2 linked regions of the Astyanax mexicanus genome follow. The protein of the gene in region 1 purifies or fractionates together with the protein of each later gene. This does not show direct contact. Links are inferred from orthologs where the notes say so. Each region holds a gene or a part of one and is shown in the gene's direction. Other genes may lie near its edges. The genes, in order: bcar1 and bcar3.

Region 1 (11,931 bases):
CAGAAAAGAAAATAACCACACTCTCTGCAGTCTTTAGTTTGTTTTTGCTTCTTAACCCCTTATTTCTCTCTCTGCATGTACCTTTTTTGTTCTGTTCTTTTCTCTTTCATTGTTTCTTCTTCTACCACTTTCACTCTTCTATCTTTTCATCTTCTATATATGTGCTCCTTACTCTTAGTTTCTTGTTTTCCCTTTTTTTCTTCAATTGTTCAGTTCTCTCTGTTTCTGCTTCTCTTGCTTCTTTTTCTCTCCCCTTTTTCTATTTTTTTCCTCTATATCTGCTTCTCTTTATATCTGTCCCTCTTTCTTTCTCTGCTATATTTTCATTCTAGGCCCCCCCTTTCTTTTTTTGTCTGTTTTTGCCCTCTATATCTTCTCCTCTTCTTGCCTCACATGCCTTACTTTTTTCTTTCTTACTCTCCCGCAATTTTTCTCATTTCCTCCTTTTATTTTTTTTTATCTTTGTTCCCCCTTTTTTCTCTTTCTCTTTGCATTAGGCTCATTTTCTTTCATTGTGTTGGTCAGGCTGGGCATGGCCTTTAGTTCTGATTTCTGTTTGACTCATTCTTTTCCATAATTTGTTCTTTTTTTTCTTGTTCGTAAAGCAGCATCACAGCTGAAGAAACTGGAGGGGTAAAGCGTACAGAGTGCAGTCCCCCTCTCTGGCCATGGGGCACATGGGTCCTCCTTTTTTGCATGCAGTCTGAGTACAGTAGGTTAGACAGAGCAGGCACAGATCAATAATGCGAGCAGAGTAAAACCCTCACACTGGGATAGAGACTCCTGGCTTGTGGCAGTTTACACTGGAAAAAAGTGGTGTTTTGTTTGTTTGAGTTACATTAGATCTTTTGATATCAACACAGAAGTGTCTTTGAAACATATTAATAGTGATAGCTTTGATGAAATTTATTTATGTGGAAATTAGGGTAAAAATGCAACAGAATGCTCATGTTCTCTGTGTATAAAAGCAGCCTCATGGATCTGTAGGTAGTCATCTAGAATGCCTGATGTATATTTGGCACAAACTTCACATCCAGGCATGTGTAACTGTCTGTCACCAAGTGCAGGGCTTCAAATGAGGCCAGGGTCTTTACAAATAGACACCACTGTTGCGAGGATAATTATAAACAATCGCGGGAAAGTGAGCCAAAAATAACAGCAGGGTAACATGTTCCAAATGCCACTAACCTTCCAGCTCCAGCTCCTTCTGCTCTGGCCTCTGTCACAGTAAAGAGACCCCATTTGTTAATGCGTTGAGATGAACAAACTGTGCAGAAGTCAGTTAGCTGTAGTCTTCCAGCCCAAGGCTTTTTTTTATTTTGATTTCCCACCATGCAGCACTTACAGCAAAAAAATAGATAGATGGATAGATCAAGCAATTTTTAATCCCATGGTTGAATTTTCACATTGCAGTAGCCCCATGTACTTTATAATGTTCTTTTCTATAAAGTATAGATGCACAATGATATCGGAATTATATTTCAACGTCATACTTGCTGACATTTGTTGTATGACATACATGTACCAAGCATTGAAACATGAACGATTTAAAAAAAAAAACAGCAAAAATATGATTTCAAGTTTATCTACACTAGTGTATGTTGCCTCTACACAACAACTTCATTTAATTTTCTGAGATTCTGCTGTGTAAGATTTTAAAAATAAGCTGAAAATATTAAAATTTTCAGAAGCTCTGCATTATTTTAATGAAGTGAGGAAGAGGTTTCTGAGGCAGGAGCTGTTTGAACCCTTGTTCCAGACCCCTAGCACATTTATAAGCTAAAACTATTAAAACTAATTTCACGTTTCCCAAAGGTACAGCGTTCTTCCTAACATACAATGTACTGATTACAGCAAGGAGGTGAGGGATAATACAACTATTTGAAGGTCACAATTGAACCCCTGTCCTTCTGCCCCTGATTAAGTGTATAATTAAAAGCCATTTTCAGTGTTCAAGGCTGCTGCCGTCAGAAATCATCTTTGGGAAAAGATGCCTCTGGTGAGTGAAAGAGTCCATACACTACATCTGGTGAAATAACCATTATTCTGTTCTTCTTTCTTTTCTGGGGTCTTTTGGTTACAGTAATGTTCTAAAATCCAGTGCCTTAACCGTTAAACCATGTACTTCAGTTTTTTTTTTGCCCTCATAACTGCAGTTCTGCAATTCTCAGTGAAATAACAGCAATTTTATATATACCATCATGGAACCCTGTGGGACTCTTAACTGTTAGCAAATGTCTTATAGGCATTTATTCATTATGATTAAAGATCTAGGGTTCAGAAGGTTAATATTACTAAATAATAAAGATAATGCTGCCGTGGTAGGCCCTAAACAATTTTCTTAAGTCCTTGTTTTCTTACTGCACTAGATTTTTAGGGAAAGGGCAACTCGAACTTTTTATAAAGTAAAAAAAAAAAACTTTCGTTTAGTTGCCAGGAGCCAATGAGAAGGGTCTAATTTTTATTTAAAATGGCTGTAGTTCACACACAAGCAGCAATATCAATGTACAACCAAATGCTTAGACCCCCTTCAGCGTCAGACTGAGCATGTGCAGAGTATACTGGTCTGGTTTCAGCTAGGCTTCAACTACAATTTGTAAATTTTGCCAACACAGGTTATTTAGTCAGTTAGTGTGAATTAAGTTAGATGAGGCAATTGGTTTGTTGTACTTAATTTTTACTTTAAAATCACATTAAGAAGAAGAATGTAAAGTTTTTTTTATACACGTTGCACTGAATTAAAACTAAATCAGTCTTGTCCAATCGGAGGAGCACCACATCATCCAGCTAACAGAGAAATCTTTTTCTGTGAATTACTGGTACAGATGGTAAAAATGTCTAGTTAAATAAAGAACGACATTTTGGCTCTGAAAAACACTGGTTCTCCTGTCGATCATGCTGAACATTGCTCCCCTCTGCATGATCTTGTGATGGGAAGCATTATACAGCCGATCCTGACAAGCTGACATCATAACACTGTGAGAGCTTCATTAAAGTGAGTGCTCAAATTTTGACATCTACTACTACAAGCTGTCAGAATGACCTCGTCCAATTTACAGGAATTGTGTTTTCAGCCTGAAGACAAAAACAGATGACTGACGTCTGGAGCACCTAATCTGGGTTCTTCATGAGCTGAAATGTTGCAGTTAGTCAGATAACTTCATGCAAAGTCAGGCTTTATTAAATGGTCACAGAAAATGTTATTCATATTGAAGATCAGATCTCTCATACTCCAGTTCTGTTATGTATATATTTTAATCAAATAATAAACGTGTCCCATAGCTTACATAATAGTGTTTTGTCTTTGGTAATATTTGGTAGCATGATTTTGTATGGTTTTTTTTTTTTTTTTTGACAGAACACATTTCAAACCCCTTGCAAGGTTTATTAGTACAAAAGCATCCAATACTTGGAGCAGCTAGTGGTTTGTTGGCTGTGAGGTTTGACTGCATGTTAACATTTTCTTAGAAAGGGAAAAGAGATCAGATCAAAAGGTTTAGAGAAAAGACCACTGACTTGCACAAACCTGAAAAAGGATACAAAAAGATAGCAATGGCACTGAACGTTCTGACAGACACAGCTGATGCATATTTCACTAGTTCACTGGCTGCACCTTATGGTGGCAGAAAGAGGCAGAAAGAGGACATTATTACTGGCTGACACTAGACTCCTGAGGAGGCAGGTGGTCAAGAATCATTAAGTGACTGCAAAAGACTGTGGCAGCAAACACTGAGCTTTTAGTTTGCACATTGATCTCCATGACCCTATATACCTCTTCTGACCTAAGTCATTAGAAACTGGAAAATTTGATTCAGTATAGATAACTGTTATCAGTGTTGCCTCAGGCAATGGTTTCGCTGTGAGGTGTTTTTGGATGATGCTGTTCATGGATGATGGTTGGATGCAACTTGGACCTTTCAGGAAGTCTGACTCCAGTAGTTTGTAATTTATCACACCCTGTCCCTGATCAGCAGTCGTGTACAGTGGGGAGAACAAGTATTTGATACACTGCTGATTTTTCAGGTTTTCCCAATTGCAAAGCATGTGGAGGACTGAAATTATTATCATAGGTACTCTTCAACTGTGAGTGATGGAATCTAAAACAAAAATCCAGAAAAATACATTGTATGATTTTTAAATAATTAATTTCCATTTTATTGTGGGAAATAAGTATTTGATCATCTATCAATCAGAAAGAATTTTGGCTCTCACAGACATGTTACTTCTTCTTTAAGAAGCCCTCCTGTTCTCCACTCATTACCTGTATTAACTGCACCTGTTTGAACTCGTTACCTGTATAAAAGACACCTGTCCACACACTCAATCAGTCAGACTCCAGCATCTCCACAATGCCCAAGACCAGAGAGCTGTGTAAGGACATCAGGGATAAAATTGTAGACCTGCACAAGGCTGGGATGGGCTACAGGACAATAGGCAAGCAGCTTGGTGAGAAGGCAACAACTGTTGGTGCAATTATTAGAAAATGGAAGAAATGCAAAAATAACGGATAATCTCCCTCGGTCTGGGGCGCCATGCAAGATCTCACCTCGTGGAGCATCGATCTTGAGGAAGGTGAGGAATGAGCCCAGAATTACACGGCAGGACCTGGTCAATGACCTGAATAGAGCTGGGACCACAGTCTCAAAAAAACGATCAGTAACACTCTACGCCGTCAAGGATTAAAATCCTGCAGTGCACGCAAGGTGCCCTTCCTCAAGCCAAAGCCCGTCTGAAGTTTGCAAATGACCATCTGAATGATCCAGAGGAGGAATGGGAGAAGGTCATGTGGTCTGATGAGACAAAAATAGAACTTTTTGGTTTAAACTCCACTCGTCATGTTTGGAGGAAGAAGAATGATGAGTACAACCCCAAGAACACCATCCCAACCGTGAAGCATGGCGGTGGAAACATCATTCTTTGGGGATGCTTTTCTGCAAAGGGGACAGGACAACTGTGTGAAGGATGGATGGGGCCATGTATCGTGAGATTTTGGCCAACAACCTCCTTCCCTCAGTAAGAGCACTGAAGATGGGTCGTGGCTGGGTCTTCCAGCATGATAACGACCCAAAACACACAGCCAGGGCAACTAAAGAGTGGCTCCGTAGGAAACATTTTAAGGTCCTGGAGCGCCTAGCCAGTCTCCAGACCTGAATCCAATAGAAAATCTTTGGAGGGAGCTTAAAGTCTGTGTGGCCCAGCGACAGCCACGAAACCTGAAGGCTCTGGAGGAGATCTGTATGGAGGAGTGGGCCAAAATCCCTGCTGCAGTGTGTGCAAACCTTGTCAAGAACTACAGGAAACGTCTCATCTCTGTAATTGCAAACAAAGGTTTCTGTACCAAATATTAAGTTTCTTTTTCTGGTGTATCAAATACTTATTTCCCACAATAAAATGGAAATTAATTATTTAAAAATCATACAATGTATTTTCTGGATTTTTGTTTTAGATTCCATCACTCACAGTTGAAGAGTACCTATGATAAACATTACAGTCTTCCACATGCTTTGCAAGTGGGAAAACCTGAAAAATCAGCAGCGTATCAAATACTTGTTCTCCCGACTGTATAAACCACAATGACTTAAAAATTCATGATTACAAGACAACAGGTTGTGTAATGCGAGCAGTAGCCTTAAGCAGTCTGGTCACTTGAAAGTCAGTGTGTGTACATGGCATAAGCAGTGCTCTTATATTCTCTACACTGAGAACATGTTGTGAGTGAAAGGAACTGTGGTACTAAGGTGAATTCTAAATTTGTAACATTCTGAAACCCCATCATCAAACACGAATGAGCATGCTCTTCAATAGACATGCAATGACTAGTAAAGTTTATTGCAACTTCCTGCACAGTGATGAAGCATTGTTCAGTCCTTCCTGCACAGTTTGTTTCCTTTCAACTCAATGTTTTTTCATCACCTGACATTCGAAACTACTCTTAAAATGTTTGAAGACCAGTGTAGTTCACTTTACATGAAACAACTAGGGTGTCTAAATGCGTATTACACCCTAATACAACAAGGTGTAGACTATATACTATATACTAATACTATAAACTAATTCTAATATATGGTATGTATTTATTGGAGTTTGATATTTTAGGTGGCCTACAAGAATGATCAGGCTAAACAAGGTAGATACCATGACCAAGCCGATCTTCCACAGCAGGACCATTTAAACCAAGCTGGCCAACCAGCATAACCAGTATTATCAGCATGACCAGCATTACCAAATTGGTTGACCACCATAACCTGCATGACCAAGCTGGTGGTCCACAGCCAGCATGATCACCAAGACTTAGCTGGTTCATTAGCCTTGACCAGAATCATCAAGCTGGATGACTAGCATGACCAAGCCAAGTTGATAGGCATGACCAAAATAAAATGCAACATACACCATGCTTGTTAACCTGTTGCTTAACAATATATGATATATGGTCCAACAGGACCCATACAAACACTCAAAGGCTGACCAATTCCATGTATGCATTGTGCATATTTGTGTATACTCAACTTGATCTTGACTTGGACTTGACATATCCTGATCCTGGTCTTGGTCTTGATTTGAACTGGACTTGGCAGTTTTGACTACAATGATGTTATTCAATTAGTACACATTTGGGACAGACCCCTCATACTGTCAGTTCAGGTCACAAAGTGTTAGAATATTAACTTATTAAAATATTAGGACCATGCCCTCACTGTACTCTGTCAAACATGTGTTTAACTGTTTTCTAGCCACACTTTAGGACTGTGCTGTGTTGTGTTCATTAAAAATTTACTGGAAATGTTTAATATTTTATCCTGTGAGTTTAGCATCAGGTGGATTTCACTGTTTATTTATCGATATTTCCTATTGAGTTGTTAATCAGTACGGTTTCCTGCCTGGATGAAGGTGTGGATGAAACCACACCACTGCTTATAGCAAGAGACTGTCCCTTTAAACTGAAGTTGAGAGAGAGACACAGAGAGAGGGGATATAGAAAGAGAGAGATACTGAGAGAGAAAGAGTGAGAAACTAAGAGAGAGAGACAGAGATACTGAAAGAGGCTGATAGAGAGAAAGAGAGATATACTGAGAGCAAGAGATACTGAGAAAGACACTGAGAAAGAGAGAGATATTGAGAGACAGATACTGAAAGAGAGAGAGAGAGAGAGAGGGACTGGCTCTGGCTCTGCAGCGAGTTGACAGGCTCCAGCTCCGCACAGCCGCAGTACTCACGCGGTCAGTGAGTGTGCGCGTGAACTAGCGGTGAAGCTAGCGGTCAGTAACGGCAGCGCGCGGGTCTCTCGCTCGTGTTTTCGTGCGGGTGGTGAGGCTGTGGAAGGGAGGAAGGGACTGGAGCTCTGAACGCTTCCCGTTTGAGGTGGACTGCGCTCTGCTGGGTGGGAGAATATTCCTGACACTAACCTCTCAGCAGCTTCAGAGAGAGAGAGAGAGAGAGCGCCGCGGAGCCCCGGTTTATACAGCGGACAGCATGGAGTAGAGCTGCACTGACCCACCGACCGACCGACCGCGACACCAGCTCACACATTCCGCGGGGTTATCTCTCTCTCTGTATCTTCTCTGTGTGTGAGAGCGCTCTTAAACACAGCCAGAGCGGAGCAGCCTGGTCGGGTACAGTCTCCAGAGAGCTGCAGTGGACTGGGAAGGACCACAAGATGTCTGTACCGGTAAGAAATGATGATAAAATTAACTTATTGTTATTATTTATCTGTTAGAACAGTGAAGCTGCTCTGCTTGACTGTAGCTGAATTCTGAGAGCTGTTCCTCTGACTTTCTCCAGCACCTTACTAACAAACAGCTTCAGCTTCACAGTCCCCACAGACTCTACCTGCTGTATTTACATAGATATCAGCCTACTGGACTACTGCTCTTATTATAATACATACTGTGTTATTATATTACTGTACTGAATTCTATACAGTACACTTAAACAAGTAATTCTAGAATTGATTGTACATTTCACATTTCCCACATATCTCATTTGTATGGTATTTTTACTTTTTTGACCAGTTCTTAAAAATATAAGCCAGTACCTAGCTGGCATTTTAACGATGAAATGCCAGTTTATGGTTGAACGTTTTATTTGGTGTTGATTTTAAAAAGTGAGTCAACATTGATATTGCAACGTTGTTTCAGCGTTGTACGTTTAAACTTTACTAAACCCTAGCTCACTAAAACTAAAAAAAATCACATGATTAACAAAGTGTTAACCATAAACCATCACTACCAATCTGATTCAACATCTGATCTCAAAAACACAATACAAATAGAATGATGAAGGTATGATGAAGAATTGGTGCCCAAATAAAAATGCAATCACAGCAAATTGAAATTAAACCACTTTTTCATCCCTCCATTCAACCGTTTTTTTAAATTGTACACAGAAAAGGCAGAAAGTTGAAAAAATTATGTTGATTTACTGTTAAAATGTTAAAGTTTTCACAATTATTTAACACTAAATGTTGTTTCAACGTTGTTCCAACGTTGAAACAACAACAGACATTACTTCAAACATATTTCAACCACATTTCAACACATTGAAGGTCCCTTGTGTGCCAGCTGGGTAATAACGTTCAGGTTACACTATAAATAATGCTTGAGTTTTCTTTTTACCACAATTTATACACAACCCACTGTCTTCCTATTGATATGTTTGTACTAGGTCTGCGCAATATATAATTTCTGTACAGATAACGCAATGTACACATGCAATAGTCACACCACAGGACGTGCAATGATTTCTGCACTGTCAAATTTAAAAAGAAAAAAAAAAAACATGACCAAAATGTAATGCAACATACACCCTGCATGTCAATCTGTTGCTTACCCAGTGCCCATATACACACACTCAAAGGCTGACCAGTTCCATGTATGCGTTGTGAATATGTGTACCGGTATACCCAGCTTGGTCTTGACTTGGACTTGACATGTCCTGGTCTTGGTTTTGACTCGGACTCGACTCTGGTGGTTCTGACTACAATGCTGTTATTCAATTAGTACACATTTGGGACAGACCCCTCATACTGTTAGTTCAGGTCACAGAGTGTTAGAATAGTAATTGATTAAAATATTATGACCACGCCCACACTGTTCACTATCAGACAAGTGTGTGTTTAACTTTTTTCAGTAATAATAGCTACTATTTACATTCAGTTTGCATTATTATTAATTATTATAACGGATTGTTAAAAAGAATAAATACCAGTACATCAACATTGATCTAATATATTCAGGTGAATATATTACCTGCATTTTAGCAAAATACATTTTTTAAATGTTTTTGCTGATACAAAGAAAAAATCATACTATTCTAGTTGTACATGACAATATCTAACAGATTGATGATTATATATACCCAATATCATTTGTTTTACTCTAACTAATGATACACATATTTCATTAATAACATTTACATGCTGGTTGATTTGCTTTAGGTGAAAATTCCTGTGTTTCTTAAAATTAAAATATACATCACAGAACAACTAAATATGACAGTTTTTAGTAAACAATACAATCCTGTGTTTAGACGTGCTTTGTGAAATCAGTTTGGTGTTATGGCACGAAATTGTGGAAAATGTCAATTATTCATATTGACGACTCAATAAGATAACGATATTAATGATTTAATTTTTGAATGGGCCAAATAGGCTGTTCCATGAACATGGCGTGTCTGTGATTCCCATATCAGGCAGCTCAGACCTGTAGGGAGTTGTGTTATCTCTCATCTGCTGTGGAAACTGGCCTGGGTGTTGTTATGCTGCAAACTGGCTGATACCAGCTGGAGAGTACGGTACGAGATTGGATTTCCAGAGCTATTACTCTGCGTATACAGTACCAACCCCCATAAATAAATCACTGTACTGACAACAGTAGAGGGAAAAGCCAAATCCTCATTCAGTGTTCTGTCCAGCCCGGAGACAAACAAATACATAATTGGCAGAAAGAGGCTCATTGGTTGTATATGCCAAATATGAGCTCGTTTGTTTGTCACAAAGAGGTGCTTTTTAAATTATGACTACATTCACTGAGCCACTGGGTTTTACAACAAACATTTGAAATAGTTAACATTAACAATGAGCTCTCAGGTGCTGACATTCATTATTCGTTTTAATACATGTGTGGAATAACTTATGGTTACACTGTGTAAACTCTATATGTAGAAACTAATCATAGAATAGTGTGGTTATAATACTTTTTACAGTGCATTCTGTTTTTTTTTTTTACATTTTGGTGATACTGTGTGTGATATAGTGTTGACTGTCTAGATTTTGCTTGTTATAAAAACTCTTTAGAATACATACTGGTTCTGCACTGAGTACATCATGATTATACTTTGTAGACTATAGTCACACAGTCTTACATATTCTTAAATATGGACTATTTAAGATTGGAATACTTGAATCTTGAATATGTAGATAACCCCATTCCGGCAGCTGGTCCCAGTCTGCACCAGTTGGCCACTGTGCAGCATTAAGGCTGCGTTTTACTCAAGCCGTGTGAGATTTAGTGAGTGGCCCTCAGGGACACAAAACTTTAGAAGCTTGCCAATTACAGAAATAGCACTCTGCCTGCAGAGAGACAGAGCAAGGCAACATGCCTTATTTTGTTTCCTGCCCGTTTTCCGGAGAATCCCACCTCCTGCTTACAGGCAGTAAAATGTTAGTGAGGATGACCTGCTAGCCAGTCAGAGCACAGGTGGGTGGGTCCTCTCTAAATACAGGTGGGGGGAAACAGACTGCGGTGTCCCTTGGGGCAGAGAGGGGCTAATTCGGGTCCTGTCTGTTTAAGTAGCAACCAATATAAATGCTGCAGAGGTTTGTGGAGTGCTGTGTAGAAGTAATGTGGAAGTATAACCTGGTTCTCTGGTGTTCACCACTTCAGGCTATGTGCTTGGGAAGATATATCAGCCTATATCTTTTACATTCCATTTGTTCATTGTGGAATCTTCTGTGTGGTGAAAACACAGCTCTGTGCATGTGCTAGCTTGATTGAGTTGCAATAACATGCTTTTTGCGTCAAGATTGCATCTTACTACCATTTGGCCAGATGCCTTTCATATCTTGTAAATGTGTGAGCAAGTGGAAAACTGCAGCAAAAACATCAACGAAACATCTGTATTCTCCATCTCCTGTTGGAACATCTCAATGTAGTCTGATTGATTGGAACATACTCTGATCACATTGGGTTCTGGTTGGGTGTACACCTGGAGTTTAGTGAAAATGTATATTGCTGCAATGTGTAAACCACCTATAATTGTATTTCAATCATAACACTCAAACACTGAATATCCTTTTGTGCAAAGAAAATGGAAATTGCTATGGAATTTGTAGTGTAAAAAACAGTAAATATGAATAGCAAAAATTATATTGGCATGTCCACAAGTTCAGTCCCTTTCCTTAGCCAAACTGGGATTATAAATAGTAGACTTTGCTCTTTAAGCCAGACTGACAGTTTAAAGTGTTAAAGGAAAAATTTAAGACCGTTAAATAACACCAATCAAAAACACAAATAAAGCAACTATAAATGAAATATACCTGCAACAATAACTTGTCAGATTGCTAATTGATGTTTTGATGGTTTGGTTACTGAATTGGCTGATTCAGAGTTACCACTAACTAAGCAGAGGAAGTAAGTGGGTACTTGATGGCTGCTAGGCTAGAAGCTAACCAAGCCAACTGCTTACAGTCTCTTCTGCTATTTACCAGCAAATTGCGCTGAATAAACACTGAGAGAACCCAAAGAACACAGAAGGAAATTTGGAAAGTGCTAAAGCTATGTTGTGCTCTGTATTTTTATTTTTACAGGAAAACATTTGTTTTATTTAAGTCCATGTAACGGGCAAATATGCTTGTAAAACTGCATCTGAGCTATTTTTGCCCCAACCAAAGTCACACAGTTACTATTACACATCAAAGAACAACTTAAAATATTA
Region 2 (11,275 bases), on another chromosome or scaffold:
GCAATGACTTTATTCCTGCAGTTCTTCACCTGTCAGACGTCTAATTCTTTTCTTCTCTGCTGAAACTGAGACTCAGTCTTTAATCATGTTAATCTGAGCTAAAGGCTAAAGCTGCTGTTTCCATGTGGGTCAGCCAGACGTGAATCTTCCTGTAGCAGTTTTTTTTCTCCAGTTTCCAAGAGTCTTTTGAAGGTGTAGGAAACAGTACTCACCGCTCTCTGGCTTCATCTGTAATTTCTATAAAGAAAAGACTTATACTTTTAATAGTTACAGAGTTCTCTGTGTTTTATCTGTGTCTTTTTCTAGTTATTATGATGAAAGTGTGACTACATACAAATAGTTTGTAAAATCCATTTCCGAAGCTCAGTTTATGTCCATTGCTAATTTATTTATTTTACACTATATTTGTACCATTTATGATTGAGTATGTTCTACACTATCAGAGGCACACTGCTGCTGCTGCAGCTCAGCCAATCAGCTCTCCCACCTGCCCCGCCCCTAAACCCATACATCACCCAGTGCCCCGCAAAAAAAAAACCCTTTGTTTTTGTTTTTTTTTTAGCCTTTTTAAATTCAAGCTAAAGGTGGAGGGTGAAATATGGGGGTTAGTGCCCTTTTAAGAAATGGAACCCACATCTATCAGACTTCGCTCACAAGATAACACCTCCAATGTATACAGGTGTGTGCATTTCCAAGCCATCTCATGAGGCATCGCTTTATGATCAGTTTAAATACTGCTTGCCTTTTGCCAGAAAAGGTATGAATGACCTCATTGTGACCTAATTTGTCACCATAATCGATCGTGTTTCCGTGTGTATTGTGAGCAGGCTCAGTTTCCAGTGATTCAGCTCAGACGCAGGTGAGTGAGAGTGATAAATGATGGCTGTGGTGGTGAATAGACCTGCCTTGTGGGCCGTAGATGGTGGAGACATGGACAATGCACAGACATGGAGCTGCTGCTGCAGTGTGACCATGCCTAGACAGCACTTATTGGTACTGGAAGGAAAATGCAAATGGATTTTTTACTTTTATTTTACTTTTACTTTGATTGCTGACAATATAAATACAAGGTATTTCATGTTTTGCCTGCTTAACTTTTTAAAAAATAATTTATTAATTTACTTTCCTACATTTCAGACCATCAACACCTTACAAAAAAGCTTTGTAATATTGCTATTCCAACAATTAACCCTCCTGTCGTGTACATTTATCAGGAACAGCAATGGTGTCCCCGGGTCAATTTGATCCGGTGCATGTTTAAATATACAATAATATCCGAAACAATAATTATTTTAAAAAATCCAAACAAGCAAAGTGAATATTTTATCATCAATTTTCTATCAATATTTAGTGCAGTGGTGTTCCTTACCTCTAATAGGTAATGGTTCAATCAGGATAGTCACTCAATAAAAAAAAAAAAAAAAAAAACATGTTAAACTTTTTTTTAATGTTTCACTACTTTACTACTTTTCAAAGACCAACATATTAGACAAAACAGCTTTACATAACATTAAAACATAACTTTGTATTTTGTTTTAGTTTTTGTTAGTTTTATGTTAGTTTTGTGGATTACACTAATTAAGGCAAGCAGAAGAAGTTTTATACTGAAAAAAAAAAACTATTTTTAACTATTTTTCCTAGATCTTCAAACTTTTAAATGGGTCACTTTTGACCCGTAAAATGACAGGAGGGTTGAAAGCCATGCCTTTTTAATATCTGGCACATGTGGTTTTGCACTGTTTCGTTGAAAATGCATGAACATGTCTTTGCTATCATAATGACGGGAAAAGTACAACTTGCACGTCTGAAAACGTGCAAAAGGCATCTACTAATTCTCTTAGTTAATCATGGGTGTGATTTGGGAATAAAACAAATAAAATAATAAACCAAGCAGCGTGTCACTTGCCATTTCCTTTAAGAGCCAGGTGTGCTCTGACTTTGGCACATTGCTATTTTAATGGCGCAGCTACCTGCATATGTTCAACTCTGTCTGTGGCTGTAGAAGGAGAAATCTGACACTTTAGAATCTGATAATTAATCATGTTAAGCAGTTATGCAGAATTGTTTGAGCAGCATGTTGACTGGTAAACAGATCAGGTGTGATGGTGACCTCAGGCAGGGATATGAGAGTAGGGAGTATAGTGTGTGTGGATGGTGAGGAATTCTGTGTTTGGAGGAGATCAGTGTTGTGTTCTCAGGGTGCAGATTTTCACTGTGAGCTTGAACTGCCTGTCAGGGCAGGACTGTCCAGAGGCAACCTTTCTCTCTCTCTTTCTATCTCCCCCTGTCTCTCTTTCTCTCTGTCTCTCTTTCTCTATGTCTGTATCTCTCTCCCTGCTCCCTGTATCTCTCTTTCTCCCTCTTTGATGATACAGCCATCACCTGTGAAAGCTAGAATAAAAAAGCTCTTTAAGTATTTTCTTTTGCACTTTAAACAGATAATAGAATAAAAACGAATTACCTTCATAAAAAAGGTGTGCTTTTATGTTTTAAGTTTTTTATTTACTTATTAAATCCTGTATATTAGCCCACACTCATAACTGCAATTCCATCACAATTAGCATCAGTTTCATAGACCCAAAAAAAAAAAAATAGATACTTGTGGAAACTCCACAATAGACACTAAACTGTTACAAAATAAATTATAGTACCGTTTGTTTGTTTTTTCGCACTATAAAGCGCAATAACAATGAACACTTATTTTCTGGTCTATTTTCAAATATAAGGCGCATTTTAAGAGGCACTATAAGGAACGTCTAACTAAGTTAAGTAAAGCTAAGCTAAGTAAACAAAACTGTAAATCTTAAAAAAGACTTTCTTTTAAAGTTAAACGAGCGCTCGATGTTAATCTACACAGATTTCTCTCCTGAAAATTGTTTATTTGGGTGAGTAAAGCACTTCCGTTTAATTTAAGTAAGCTTAAATTCACAAATTTCTCCAGCACTAAGGCTGGAGGATTAGCATTGTGCTGGCTGACAGCGCTACACAGAGGAACCCTGAGTGTTTTGGAAAGCCAGGGCGATATCAGCTAGCATGTAGTCCTATGTAGCTTGTTTTAAGATGGTAAACACGTAGATACAGTTCGGGTAATGCTAATGCTGCTCCAGCAGTGCTAGCCAGGGTTAGGAGCAGTTTACAGTCTGATAACACACACCTCTGAACGGGGAAAATAGCGTTTAGCGGCTAATGCTAATGCTACTCTAGCCTCAGTGCTGGAGAACTAGCTGAAACTCCTGGATAAAGCTGTACTTCAGCGGAGTGGCTTTACTGCTACTGACTGGTCAAATTCATACATAAGGCATCCCGGCATTTTTTGGGAAAATTAAAGGATTTTAAGTGTGCCGTATAGTGAGAAAAATACGGTATTATGCGGTTTCCACATTGTCATTGATTGTAGAATAATAAAATTAGGGTTCATATGGTTAAAATTAAAGTGTCAACTGGGACAAAAAAAGAATACCCTTTGAGATTCTCTATAACAAGAGCCAAACTGTAACAGTAGTCGACGCTAAGCTCTATATCACAGGCCCAGCACTACTATAAACGAGGCTGCTGTATGGAAGTGCTTTGAGAAAGTGTCATTAGATTGAGATGAAGGGCTTGGTAGAGCCTGTGGATGGACGTGCTCTGTTATCATTGCTTAATGGCTTTTCCTCAGTGTGAGACGATGAGAAGGAGTGGCGTGCCATCTCTGGTTTCCTTCTGAATGCCCTGCTCCAGCGGGCAGCTCCAGCGGGCAGCTCCAGCAGGCAGTAATGAGCGCACGAGTGAGCGCACAATCGCGCCTTTCTCTCCGCCAGGCCCTAATTGGTGCTACAAATATTGACATGCCAGTTTGGTGAGGCAGTGACTGTAGCAGATGACATGACTGGCAGAGCCATCCCCTGTGTGTGTGTGTGTGTGTGTGTGTGTGTGAGAGAGTGAGACAGAGTGAGAGAGCACAAATATCTTCACAATGGCTCCAGTGAGACACAAAACAAACGTGGCATTGTTGGTGGTACATTTCATGTTTACTGTAGGCGAGAGCTGAGGAGAACCCGCACACAAAGCTCTGGAGCTGCTACAATCCCCATCACTCCAACAGCTTAAAACTTGTGTATCTGTTTGGTGTTGGCAACAGCTATTAAAAGACCCAATACAAATTTCTTTATCTTAACATTTATTATTGTATATTTACAATATGATTTCAGACTTGCCATCGCCATTCAGCTCTATTAACGCCTATTTTCTGGTCTTTTTTCATACATAAATCGCTATTCTCTTTTATGGGGGGGTTTATCCTCTGTGATTTTATTCCTGTCCAGAACGTCCATGTATTCATGTTTTTCTCAGACGTCCTCTGAGAAAATTACAGGTTGAATTATCTAATGTTTTTTGCTGAACTCCGTGGACCTTTAGTCCAGTTCAGACTCACATTGCATTTAATAAAATAGCTATTTGTCCTCTGCCACACACCGTAATTGTACTTTGGGCACACGTTTCCATGGAGATCCATGTTAAAAACACAACAGCGAGTGGAAATGGAGGAGATACTGAACGCGATGTCCTTCAGCCAAAAAACTCACTGGTCCTCCTGTTTGCAAGAGTTTTATCACTGAGTAGAAGAGTAAAATATTTTACACAGACGACCCCCTGAGTAACTTATCCCGTCCGGATAGGGCTAAAGGTGCATTTTTTTTGCAACAATAGTAAGGAACAAGGGTTTCACCATGTTTCCCTTCTATAAAAATGTTTAAAAAAAAAAGGTCAAACAAGCCCTGGATGTTAATCTACACAGATGTCTTTCCTGAAAAAACTTTATTTGGGTGAGTAAAGTGCTTCTAAGCTTAGATTTTCTATAAGCATGGTCACCCTTGTAACACTACTTCAGCATTCAGTGGCTTTACTGCTCCTTAATACCTGACTGGTAGAATTAATACATAAGGTGCATGGGATTCTAAGATGCACTGGTGATTTTTGGGAAAATTTAAGGATTTTAAGTGAACCTTATAGTGTGAAAAATACAATTTGCCTTTCCTGTTCTATAAAACCCCTATCCAGATAAATCTCTCCATCCAGATAGAGTGAATCTGATTGATTGTGATTGGATGTAGAGAAGTATAAACATATACCATTCCGACTCTCTATTGGTTTATACTGTGATGCATCACACCTGCACATACCACGTCTATTTTTGCATTCTACTAAAATACAATGAGCAGATATGTAGCATTAACATTTTAATAGAACATTATATTGTGCTTAGGGGGGGGGGGGGTTGGGGGGTAGAGCACTATAGGACTTTGTGGGCGTGGCCTAATCTTTGTTCTTAATGGCTTTATTTTTTCCTCTTATATTACTAAGCAGTACTTTTACAGTTTTACTGAAAGAGTAAAAAGCTCGAGTTGATACTTCAACTTCTACAGAAGTATTTTAAACCCTAGTATCTAGTAATTAATGTGACTCAACTGATATTTTCAGCAGGATAATGCTCACCCACACATCTGTGGGTAAATGTGCTGCAGGATGCCAAAGAACTGGTGCCCTGTCCATGGGGTATTCCTGCCTTGTGCCCAGTGCTTCTGGGTGGGTTTCCAGGTCCACAAAACCCACTATAATCCTGACCGTGAAGAAGATGTGGATAGGACTGGGCATGGTGCATAAGCAGACTGCAGAGGAAATGACAGCAGAAGGTCGTATCTGCAGAAGAATGGTCAAAGCAGAGCTGAGTTAGTCTTGGCTGGCTGCCACGTGACAAGACAATAGTGAAAGCAGTGCTGTTTGTGTTCACCACTCTGTCTGCAATCTATAGTGGTGTATACAAGACCCACAGAGGCTCACAGGGACTCACAGAAGCTCAGTACACTGTGGTGTACACTGTTTTTCTGTACTGCTATGATGCTGTATGGAGCCCCTGAAGGGACGTGGTGCATTTTTTTTTTAACCAAAAAAGCGGTGAGCACCACATACTAAGTGGTGAGCACCACATTCTGAGTGGTGAGCACCACATTCTAAGTGGTGAGCACCAGATAGTAAGTGGTAAGCACCACATACTAAGCGGATATATATTAAATGAAATAAATATTATTTATCGCTGAACATGCACTGAGCTGCAAGTGTCAATGATACAAAAATGGCCAGCAACTGAATCAATAATAGAGAGTAGAAGAAATAGTAGAAGAAATAGATAACTAGATTCAATACTCTGCAGGGAACAGAGCAAACAGAGGGGTATTTATGCTAGACAGGTCAGGTGCAAACAATCAGTAACTGGGGGAGCGGGAGCGCCCCTGCACTGCAGAGTCAGGGAAGTCCGATGTGAGGCAGACTGACTGATATTGATATCAAAATGTACTTTCTTAAGGGGGCGGGATTATCTCCAGATTACAGATAGGACTGGTAATTATTGGGATTTTTTATATGGATTTTAATTGATTGATATTGAACCATATCTACTATATATTTCAATCTGTCAATCAGAGAAGGTATACCCAGTGCGGCTGAATGGAAGATGATAATGGATGTGTGGTTGGAGTGTAAGCTGTGTGTGTGTGTGTGTGTGTGTCTGCGCTGGGTGAGGAATGCTGTGTATGTCAGCATCTCTGCATGCGCTCCAGTGCAGACGAGCTGAGACGAGAGGCAAGACGAGCAGAGAGAGTGTGTATCCTGCCAGCCTGATGAGTGCACACACACACACACACACACACACACACACGCACACACACAGCGCTGCTGTGGAGGACAGTGGAGTGGAGAGCACAGTCTCTGCAGTGAGGGGAACCCGGCTGATGTAGGACAGTTCTCCAGTACACTTCAGTAACTGATTGGTTTGATTAATATTGATGCTGGAAGTGAAGCTGAGGACCTGCAGATCTACAGAGCTCACCTGGATTCAGCAGCATCCTGAATCCTGCAGATCAGCACTGCTGAGGTAAGTTCAGCACTCAGCAATCACAGCTGAGGAAACTTTTCTTCTGAACTGTTCCACTGTAGCTCTTCACTCTTCACTCTATTACAATATCTGTATCTCTTTATCTTTATCTATTTAGTGTATTCCCTAATCCTCAATTTACCCCTCTAATCTTAGTCCTAATCTTAAATTTAACGCAATAAAGAATAGTGATAGTTTGTAACACTTTAAACATCAAAAAAATTAAAAACAAAGGGTATTTCAAATAGAGTGACCCAAAAATGTCTAATTCTTATTATACAGATATGCTCTTATTAGATATAAACATAAACTGGCATGCTAAAAGTCACGAGGCAGTAGTTTGTAATGTACTAAAGTAATTCATATGGAAAAGACTACATACTGAATGTGATCTACTCATCTCTTCAGTGTATTCCATAATCCTCAGTCTAACCTTAGTCTTAATCCTAATCTTAACCTTAACACTTTTAGGAACACTGAGCGTTTGGTAAAACTTTAAACATCAAAAAGTGGGAAAAAGTGGACTAACTATGAATGTCTAAATATTAGAGTATTATGCTGCTATTTTACTATAAGATAAGCATACACTAACAGGCTGTACTAAAGCATTTCAGTAATGCATATGTGTGTACCTACAGCTCTGGAAAATAATAAGAGAGCACTTAAAAATGATTTTTAGTTTCTTTGATTTTAGCAAATTGAAAACCTCTGGAATATAATCAAGAGGAAGATGGATGATCACAAGCCATCAAACCAAATTGAACTGCTTGAATTTTTACACCAGTAGTGTAAAGAATAAAGTTATCCAAAAGCAGTGTGTAAGACTGGTGGAGGAGAACATGATGCCGAGATGCATGAAAACTGTGATTAAAAACCAGGGTTATTCCACCAAATATTGATTTCTGAACTCTTAAAACTTTATGAATATGATCTTGTTTTCTTTGCATTATTTGAGGTCTGAAAGTTCTGCATCTTTTTTTTTTTTTGTTATTTCAGCCATTTCTCATTTTCTGCAAATAAATGCTCTAAATGACAATATTTTTATTAGTAATTTGGGAGAAATATTGTTCGTAGTTTATAGACTAAAACAAGATTGTATATTTTACTCAAACATAAACCTATAAATAGCAAAATCAGAGAAACTGATTCAGAAACTTAATTGGTCTCTTAATTGTTTTCCAGAGCTGTATTTTCTTTTTTTATTGGTTACTTTAGTATTCCCTTTTCTATCTTTGTATTGTACTTTTTCTGTTTTTTGCCTACAGTTTGTGTCTAAAAGTCCTTTTTATTCTGTCTTTTTAATCAGTCTGCAATATTCAAATGTTCAATCTTTTCAATTAAATTATTTCGGACAAAAGCAAAGCTGTAATAATTGAATGCGTGCACAAAATTATTGATTATTGAAATTTAAAAAGCTTTTAGCTTTATTTTCAGAACATCAGGTTTGTTAGTGTTTAGTGTTTAAGCTGGTAGATCCTGTATGTAAAACTTACACTTCTTACAGCTCTTTACATTTTTATAGGCCCTTCAACTGAACCCTGTGGAACTCCATGATTCACAATAGTTTCTCTATTAGGAATAATAGCACAATAATTAGCCTAGGGTTTAATGGGTTGCCATGTAGACTCTGTTGTCCACTGTAATCCACCACTCCCTATTCTCTCACACTCTTGCTATTTCCCTTTGTCCCAAACCTTTAGACATGTTTCAGAAGAGATACTGCATTTACTATAAACAATAATCAATAATTTGCAAATTGGGAAAGGTGACAAGTACACCTAGTACACCACATAGTAGCCCACACTGTAGCTTTTACTTAAAGGGCAATTAAACTCTTGATTTTAGCTGACTCTACCCTCAGCTCAAATTTGAAAAAAGCAAAATAATAAGATGGATAGCTTGGAAGGGGGAACTGAGTGATGTATGGGTTTAGAGATGTGGCAGGAGGGAGAGAAGCTGATTGGCTGAGCTGCAGCAGCAGTGTGCTTCTGATAGCGGCGAGACGCAGACGGTTGGACGTCAGCAGGGGGGCGGGGGTATTATTGATTGACTGATCTGCATATTGTAATGTATCTGCGTACCAAAGTACACGGACACATTATGTTCTCCTATAGCACAGTTGAACCTGAGAGGGCACTGCAGAAGCAGAAATTACTACAATAAAAGTGTTTTTTAAAGATTAGGAAATTTTTATATACTTTTTTTCAGCAGGAATGGTATGTTTCATTACTTTAAATGACTGAAAAGTGATGCAAAGTAATGCAGAAATAATCAGAAGTGGTGACATAGCTAGCAATTTTTGGTTGGTAGAATTGTTTTGAATATTTCAAATTAATTCTGTTTTTGGATGTTTTTAGAGCGTCACTTGCCAGTGTTTTAAGTTTTAGTTTGGGAGTGTTTTAGCTTCAGTTTTTTTTTTTTTACTTTTTTCCATAATGGGAACCTCCATCTTGCTGGCAATCTAAAATTTGAGAAAGGTTCTAATCTACTGCAATGCAAACTATTGTCGAACCTTTAGAAAAAGTTGCTAAACGTTCATATAAAATTCCCTGTTATAGCTGGGTACTTTTCTGAGATACTGCAGTTATAAAGCAATCTACCCAAAGAGTTATATAAGTGAACCCTTTACATCCTGGGCTTTGGGGTCAGGTGAGTTGCTCTTCTGCGGATCTCCTGCAAAACTTGGACCAGCTTGGGCTCTTCATCAAAGTTCTGGCACTGGATCCAGACTGCAGTAACGCCGAGCTGCTTCAAACGGCTTCCATTAGAGAAATAAGAATCTGAGAGAACGGAGCTCCAGCTGAGTTCGGTTCACCAGGGCTGTGGAGCATGTGCAGTGCAGATACGGAGGGGCGTCGGGGGCGGGGGGCACTTGGTAGTAATTTGGGTGTGGTGGAGATGCTGGGAGGGATTTGGGAGGGTAGAGATAGCGAGAGAGACCTGAGGAGCCTCTGGCAGCATTTAGTCTCCCATCCCACCACAACACTGAGGCATGATGGGAGCTCACGTCTCATGTGGTCTCTCTAATCATGCAGAAAACCCGGCAAAGGCACGCACACCCAATCTGGCAACCCGGCCTTGGATAGAGGGTTTGCTGTTCCAGCTGATTGACAGAATGACAGAACGGCTAGACGGAACTTTTTTACTCTTTAGTATCTAAAGATATATTGAAATAATGTCACAATTATTTATCTATATATTGTATATTGCAGTATTGCAATACTATGTTTTATAATACTAATGTACCTACAGTGGTTCTGCCAGTCAATCACAGGCATCAGCTGTTACTGACAGCTGCCAGTCATGCAATTGGCAGATTGAGTGGTAGCTGCCAGTAAACAGGTGGTGCAGCTTGAGTGGCAGCTGCCAGGCAGCCAATGGCAGTTTATTGCCAGCTGCCAGTGAGTTAGTGGCAGGTTTGGTTAGAGTTGGAAGATTTGAATAATTTTCCTTAAACACTCCAAAACAGTGGTTTACAACATGTATCTCTGTTCATTCTTCCAATAAACAGTACCAGTCAAAAGTTTGTAAACACCTTATCATTAAAAGTTTTTTTTTATTTCTTTATGTAGTTTATTTTTTTGCATCGTAGATTAATATTAAATACATACAAAAAAAAAACAATTAAGTAAACAGCAGAAAAGTGTTAATCCTCCACATTAATCCCCTGATCTAAACCTGATGAACTAAGATGGTGATTTGGGATGAGCTGGATAAATGTGATACTTAGAAGAACCTAAAATATAAAACATATTCTGGTTTATTTAACACTTTTGACCTTTGACTGGTTCTGTATGAAGACATTTCAACCAATGTAATCAATAATCAGAAATGCGTCGTAAAGTAGGGGTTAGCCAAACAATACTCAGCGATGAGTGAGTGGATTGGAGGTGTATTTATACTGTGTGGCACAGGTGTAATCAATAATTGGGTGATGGGCTTTCGGGTAGTGTCGTGTGCAGTGTAATGTGGTTGTGTGAGGGTGTAATGTCAATGTATGGTGCGTTTTGGTTATTGTATTCTGAAGACTGGAGAACGCAGGTGGAGCTGAATGTGGGAGAGACAGGCGTAAGATGTTACATACATACAGTCATATGAAAAAGTTTGGGTACCCCTATTAATCTTAATCATTTTTAGTTGTAAATATTTGGGTGTTTGCAACAGTCATTTCAGTTTGATATATCTAATAACTGATGGACACAGTAATATTTCAGGATTGAAATGAGGTTTATTGTACTAACAGAAAATGTGCAATATGCATTAAACCAAAATTTGACCGGTGCAAAAGTATGGGCACCCTTATCATTTTATTGATTTGAATACTCCTAACTACTTTTTACTGACTTACTGAAGCACAAAATTGGT

What was found.
Region 2: the proteins of bcar1 (region 1) and bcar3 purify together in Homo sapiens (co-immunoprecipitation; 4 studies listed by BioGRID and IntAct, counting the BioPlex papers as one, with this or other methods). This does not show direct contact. The link is inferred for Astyanax mexicanus from reciprocal best matches to the Homo sapiens genes BCAR1 and BCAR3.

Annotation. Positions count from the first base shown.
Region 1 is NC_064416.1:26,066,989-26,078,919, forward strand, and holds the start of bcar1 (breast cancer anti-estrogen resistance protein 1), read left to right. Parts: upstream 1-7,082; 5' UTR 7,083-7,654; coding exon 7,655-7,666; intron 7,667-11,931. UniProt on the Homo sapiens protein: Docking protein which plays a central coordinating role for tyrosine kinase-based signaling related to cell adhesion. Implicated in induction of cell migration and cell branching. Involved in the BCAR3-mediated inhibition of TGFB signaling.
Region 2 is NC_064419.1:45,426,995-45,438,269, reverse strand, and holds the start of bcar3 (breast cancer anti-estrogen resistance protein 3), read left to right. Parts: upstream 1-6,639; 5' UTR 6,640-6,910; intron 6,911-11,275. UniProt on the Homo sapiens protein: Acts as an adapter protein downstream of several growth factor receptors to promote cell proliferation, migration, and redistribution of actin fibers.